2 linked regions of the Xenopus tropicalis genome follow. The protein of the gene in region 1 interacts with the protein of each later gene in a biochemical or structural test. Links are inferred from orthologs where the notes say so. Each region holds a gene or a part of one and is shown in the gene's direction. Other genes may lie near its edges. The genes, in order: ddx39a and sarnp.

Region 1 (3,093 bases):
CCATCATGACAGAACAAGACGTAGAAAATGAGCTGTTGGATTACGAAGAAGACGACGAGCCTCAGGCACCCGCTGAAACTGCAGCTCCAATCGCCCGGAAAGAGGTGAAAGGCTCCTACGTGTCCATCCACAGCTCCGGCTTCCGAGACTTCTTGCTGAAACCCGAACTCCTCCGATCCATCGTAGACTGCGGTTTTGAACATCCCTCTGAGGGTAAGCAATGTCTACACACAGGCTTAGAAATACAGTGTGAACCGACAGTGGCCCATCAGTAATACCAGTCCTAATTTCAATCTTAACTTTCTTGTGGTTCCTAAGTTGCTTCCAGGTCAACACTTCACCTGCTTTCTTTAGGTCCCCGACCCCCAGGAACTGGGCAGCAGCTTAAATGCCTTGCATAACAACTTAATAAAAGGCATGAATGGAAACTTCATTATTTATGCAATTGTGAGCGTATTAAATCCTATTATGATAAGTAACCCGACCAGCCCCAAAGCTACTGTAAGAGCAAAGATACACTGGGCTACTTAGTAGCAGCAGCTACTTGTCATGGCTACTAAACTCCAGAAAATCCCCTGCCATAGACAATTGTATGTGTGTTTTAGCAGAGGCAATTCTTATTATCCGTAAATGATCAGCATTGTCTATTTTTTAGTAGCTCAGTGTGTCTTCACCCTAACTGTTACTGCCTTCCTACAGCCTGTGACCCAAGCGTTGTCCTTGTTTGGGTCATCTATCCTTATCACTGTGGGAGCAGTTTAAATGCCTTACTAGCTGCTTAATGAGAAGGGTGAATAAGGACATTGATATTAATTCAGCTGTAAACTCATTCTATTCTGATGATTATTGTAAGTAACCCGACCAGCCAGCTAATATAACTGCTCTTCCAAGTTAAGGTTGTGCCCTTGGTTTGATCACTGACCCCAGCAATTAGCTACAGTTGGAATGCCATAATTACTGCTTTATATAAGGTGTTAACTATAAATATAGTAATTATACATATTTATGCAAATGCACCTAATTTAAGATTTCTTTTGTCCACACCAAAGCTGCAATCCCTCTGGGCACAGTTATCATATGGACCCTTAGGTGCTGCCTTAGTAGCAATCTTCCATCCCACTGGTAGAAAAATCAGTTCAGCTTATTGAAATTTAATTTCTCATGTCATTAAATATAAATGTTTCGTTTTTTTTTTTTCTTACAGTCCAACATGAGTGTATCCCTCAGGCTATCCTGGGCATGGACATCCTTTGCCAAGCAAAATCTGGTATGGGGAAGACTGCTGTCTTTGTCCTGGCCACCCTGCAGCAAACCGAAGCCGTGGAAGGGCAGGTGACTGTCCTAGTTATGTGCCACACGCGTGAGCTAGCGTTCCAGATCAGCAAGGAGTATGAGCGGTTCTCCAAATACATGCCGACTGTCAAAGTACGTACTTCATTAATCTCATGTTCTAGATCAGGGTTTCAGCTTGTGGCCTTCCATGTGCTGAGCCACCTTCATATACTGGGAATGTAGCATCCAGGGGAAGCAGGATAACTGGGTGCCATGTACTTGTGTGTTGGGTGCCCTTGCCATTTTTCTGGGTTGAGAAATGCTAAACCTATGAAATGTTCCTTTTTTTTCCCAGGTGGCAGTTTTCTTTGGCGGGCTCTCTATTAAGAAAGATGAAGACACCATACGCAAGAGCTGTCCCCATATTGTTGTCGGAACACCGGGTCGCATCCTGGCGCTCGTCAGAAGCAAGATCCTGAATCTGAAGAACGTGAAACACTTTGTGTTGGACGAGTGTGACAAGATGCTGGAGCAGTTAGGTGAGGATGCCTGTTGGGGTGCATGGCTGCTGTGGCAGAATGGTCATAGACTCTTAAGTAACTGTTCATAGTGTTACATGATGAATAACTCCCATCCTCACACCATTTTTGTTCCTTTACTAGAGGTGGTGTGGGAAGTGCAGTTCTACACCTTTAGCGCTCTATTGACTCTAAATGTGTACCTTAATCCCCGGCTGTTCCGCTTTAAAGGAACAATTCAGTGTAAAAATGAAATAAAATAAAAAAATGTTTCTAATATAGTTAGGCAAAAATGTAATCTACAAAGGCTGGAGTGAGCAGATGTGCAGAACTCTACTTCCTGCTTTCAGCTCTCTAACCTCTTAGTTAGTCAGTGACTTTAGGGGGGGGGGGCACATGGGACATAACTGTTCAGTTAGTTTGCTTTTAAATCTGAACAGAGTGCTCACAAACTAACTGAATAGTTCTGTCCCATATGCCCTCCCTCCCTAACGTCACTGACTGCTAACTGCTTAGAGCTGTAAAGCAGGATGTAGAGTTCTGTCTATTGTGTTGGACATCCGTTAACATTTTACCTCGTTTCATTTCTACACTGAATTGTTCCTTTAAAAACAACATTGGCACATAAATGACCCTTTCAGTGTAACTGGTCCTATCAGAATGTATAACAATCTATGACCCGATGCAAAACACTGTATAATGGTGTAAGGGATGGGGCAAATGATTGGAATAGAGACTTACTATGATTTATCTCCCTTTTAGATATGAGAAGAGATGTACAGGAGATTTTCCGCCTAACACCCCATGAGAAACAGTGCATGATGTTCAGTGCCACCCTGAGTAAAGAGATCCGCCCTGTGTGCCGGAAGTTCATGCAAGATGTAAGTAGTTCAGCTGGGCCGTGCCATTCTCTAAGGAAGGTTTCCTATTATGTTCTCTGTCCTTATCGCTGTTGTTTTCTCCTCAGCCTATGGAGGTATTTGTGGATGATGAGACCAAGCTGACCCTTCATGGCCTGCAGCAATATTATGTCAAGTTAAAAGACAGTGAGAAGAACCGCAAGCTTTTTGATCTACTGGACGTATTAGAGTTTAATCAGGTAAATCTTTTATACATCTCATACCCTGGATATGTTCTTATGGTATTGTGCTTGACTACATTTTTCAAATGTATTTGAACATTCTCTGGTCTAACTTCTGATATCTCCCACAGGTGGTGATCTTTGTGAAATCAGTGCAGAGATGCATGGCTCTGGCCCAGCTCTTGACTGAACAAAACTTCCCTGCTATCGCTATTCACAGAA
Region 2 (3,831 bases), on another chromosome or scaffold:
GAAAGTATAAGTGAACCATAATTATCATATTTATTTACATAGATTGCTTCAATAGTGTCACAAACTATATTTTTAAAATGACTTTTTTTGTAAGAGGCTAAAAACAGTAACCATAATTCACATAGAAGGACATATCATTTATGTTTTCTTGTGATTTTGGATTGTGGATTTTTTTTCTAGATTGCAATCATGCAATCTAGAAATGATGAAAAATGTCCAAAAGCAAAAACTAAATAGACAAATGTAAAGACATTTAGAGGACACAAAGTAAAATAACTATGGGTTGCCAAGTTAGTCACCCCCTTGTAATTCTAGTTGCTTACCTGTTAGCTGGTGCACCAGATGTCCCCTTCAATTTGGGCAGGTGCAGTACATTTCTGGTCACTGTGTGGGGTGCCCTCCATACCTCCAAGTTATTGCTGCACTGATATGCATGTTAATGTGACTGTAGTTCCAAATAGTACTGTGTTGCTTCTAATATACATGTGAACATGTTTTTGGGTTTGTTTGCTGACTTTACAGTTACAGGCTATTCTCCATATTGATGGATCTTTAGTAATGTTTTTTTTTGTATTCTGGTTTGTCTTGTAGCTGAAGAAGAGGCTAATGAAGAAGATGTTTTGGGTGAAGAAACAGAAGTAAGTGCAGGACTAACCATTAACGAAAATTGCACTAGTAATATAATAACCCATAGTGTGCATGAATGTATATACTTCCAGGAACCTATATCCCAATAAAGATGTAGTCATTTACTTTTGGCATTTCAAGGGTTGGGACTCTTATCACAGGGGGGTTGATGAGAATGAGAAAAAGCAGACATTGTTAACTCTTATTTTTCATCTGTCTACACAGCTGAGGATCCAGCTAATGAAGGCATCCTTTTTAATAGACACAAATCTAGTAATATAACTACTGATGCACGGGTCACTCGGGAGGAAATTCAAAAGAGACTTAAACATGTAATGGTAAACAAAGGTCCAGGACCGAATGGTATTCATCCTAGGGTATTAAATGAGCTTAGCTCTGTGATTGCAAAACCTCTACTTAATTTTTCAGGATTCATTGAGGTCTGGCATGGTGCCAAGAGACTGACAAATTGCTAACGTGGTTCTGTTATTCAAAAATGCATCCCTTCACAGCCTACAAACTATAGGCCTGTTAGTCTGACACCAGTGGTAGGAAAGCTTTGTGCCAGCATGGTTTTATGTGTAACCAATGTTGCCAGACTAATTTAATTGTCTTCTATGTGGAAGTAAACGGGAATGGCAATGGATGTCATCTACTTGGACTTTGCTAAAGTATTTGATACAGTACCACACATAAGGTTAATGATAAAATTGAGAAATATTGGCCTGAAACATATTTGTAATTGGATAGAGAACTGACTGAATGATAGGTTACAAAGAGTAGTGGTAAATGGAACATTTTCTAATTGGATCAGTGTTAGTTGAATAACCTGGAGGTGGGCATTGAAAGTACTGTTTCTATTTTTGCTGACGACACTAAATTGTGACAAACATATAAGTTCCATACAGGATGCGGCCACTTTGCAAATTGGAACACTGGGCAGCAAAATGGAAAATGAGGTTCAATGTTGAAAAGTGCAAAGTTATGCAGTTTGGTAGAAATAATTTAAATGCTAGTTACACACTAAATGGTGGTGTGCTGGGGGTATCCCTAATTGAAAAGGACCTAGGGGATTTTGTTGATAACGAGTATCCAAGTAACACAGTATCCAAGGCTATTGTGATTCTAAAATCTACAGTTAGTATTGATGTGTGTGTCTATAGTTTATGCATAGTATGAGAGTGTATAGATAGGTCAGAATCGGGGATGAGCGGAAAAATTTGCTGCGTGACCATAACATCCACTGCGCATCACCTTCTCTGACGTGCACGTAGCTTTTTTTTTTTTAATGCATGCGTCATTCTTTTGCGCGTCCAAAGCCGAGGCGCACCAGAGAAAGCGATGCCCGCGTCAAAGAAAGCAAATTCTTTTGCCCATCTCTAGTCAGGATAGGTTTGTGTGTGTGCTGGGGTTTGAACTTGATGGACTTTCGTCTTTTTTTTCAACCCAGCTTAACTATATAACCATATGTAACTATGTAACCTGGTGTCTGTAACAGGCAGTCTCAACCATCCCTTTCTCAGCTGCACAAGAAATGTAGGCAGTCGCTGGCTGCTGTTCTCTCTTAGTGCAATCAGACCCGGTTGGAACAGAGAATGCACCGGCATTTAACAAGCATACTTGCCCCCCCCCAATATAAATAATTGGCCATCATAATGTTCATTCAGGTCCTGGAGACCCATAAGCTTTAGTCTATTTGCTTTTTTTATTCTCTTTGTAGAACTGATGCCTTCAAACATATAAATAGTTAATTGATAAAGAAAGCCTGTGTGGGAAAATAAGAAATGTACTGATATAGAACTATGCAGTGTTACAGATGATCCCTAAAATTATCTAAACATTAAATACACCCAGTATGATTCTTTTCTACCAATAAGTATCAATTATATCTTAGTTGGGATCAAAATAGAGTGTGGGATATGAGCTTCCTGTAAGTCAGGGCTCATTATATATACTGTTTTGATAATCATTTATAAAGCACCAGGTGAACCTGGTCAATCTTGAATTGCTGCTCCCTGTATGCAAGTCCGTCTGCTGTTGTGCTAAGTATCATTTAATAATTCACCTGGCTTATAGAAATGTTTGTGGTCAGTTTCAGTCTTTCTGCAGAACCAAGAAGAACCCTTCTTAGCACTGTGGGGGACATAGTTATTAACATTTGAATGTGAGTTTTTATCATGATTTGAGGATTTTTTGCGGCCAAAATGCAGATGTATAATTGAGTTTTCTATTGTGTTTTTGCAACAACAACCCCCCCCCCCCATTCAATTCAAAATTCTATCATGGGAAAACACATTTTTTTTCCCAAAATGCGTCCTGTGTCAGTTAATAGCACTGCTTAAGCAGAATCCTGCACTAAATTTACAAAGGCCGAACAATTTTTTTTTTTATATTTTTATATGTAATTTTTAAATTTGACATGGGGCTATACATGTTAGTTTCCCAGCAGCTGCTCAGCAGAACAATGGGAAGGTAAGCATAACAGGTCTCTGACATCTGCATAACTAAAAATGCTGCCATGCTCTACCTAATGGTAGATTTGAAAATAGCAGTAAAAAGCCAAGTCATGGCTCCTTAAGCTACACTGAGTAGGAGAAACAATAGCTTATCTGAAAGCAGTTCTGTTGTGCAGTGTTGGCTGCTTCTGAAAGCCCAGAATAAGGCACAGTGCACTGAGATGATTGCCTACACCAATATTACTAAAAAAGTTTGTTGGTTCACGAATAACATTTTAAATGGCAGAGTGAATTATATTATTTGCTGTGTATTTAGTAATAAACACTATACCATAAAAATCATGACCAAATCCCTGGTAATCTGTTTTCCTTTTATTTCAGGAAGAGGAGCAGAAGAGCAGTGTCGCTGCAGTCAAGGAAGAAGAACCTGATGACAAACCAGCTGATACGTAAGTTACATAGTTCATTTGGGTTGAAAAACAAATTCCATCAAGTTTAACCCCTTTAAATGACCACCATTGCATATATAAATACACATTCAGACATATCTATGTGACTTAAATCCATTAATAGAATATGCCTTTACAGCATCACCCAATAGGGCTTTCCACAACCTAACTGCCGTTACTGTGAAGAATCTTTTTTAACTGCTTTAAATGAAGTTTTGTTCATGATGTCTAAATTGTCTAACATTTCTATGTGAAAAAAGATCTGCTTTCTGCCTATAATGTATTTGGAAAGAATAATC

The links.
Region 2: the proteins of ddx39a (region 1) and sarnp form a complex in vitro, tested with the Homo sapiens proteins (2 studies listed by BioGRID). The link is inferred for Xenopus tropicalis from reciprocal best matches to the Homo sapiens genes DDX39A and SARNP.

What each region holds. Positions count from the first base shown.
Region 1 is NC_030679.2:134,604,191-134,607,283, reverse strand, and holds part of ddx39a (ATP-dependent RNA helicase DDX39A), read left to right. Parts: 5' UTR 1-5; coding exon 6-213; intron 214-1,204; coding exon 1,205-1,425; intron 1,426-1,627; coding exon 1,628-1,811; intron 1,812-2,552; coding exon 2,553-2,671; intron 2,672-2,757; coding exon 2,758-2,889; intron 2,890-3,002; coding exon 3,003-3,093. UniProt on the Homo sapiens protein: Helicase that plays an essential role in mRNA export and is involved in multiple steps in RNA metabolism including alternative splicing. Regulates nuclear mRNA export to the cytoplasm through association with ECD.
Region 2 is NC_030678.2:138,206,077-138,209,907, reverse strand, and holds part of sarnp (SAP domain-containing ribonucleoprotein), read left to right. Parts: intron 1-591; coding exon 592-638; intron 639-3,464; coding exon 3,465-3,532; intron 3,533-3,831. UniProt on the Homo sapiens protein: Binds both single-stranded and double-stranded DNA with higher affinity for the single-stranded form. Specifically binds to scaffold/matrix attachment region DNA. Also binds single-stranded RNA. Enhances RNA unwinding activity of DDX39A.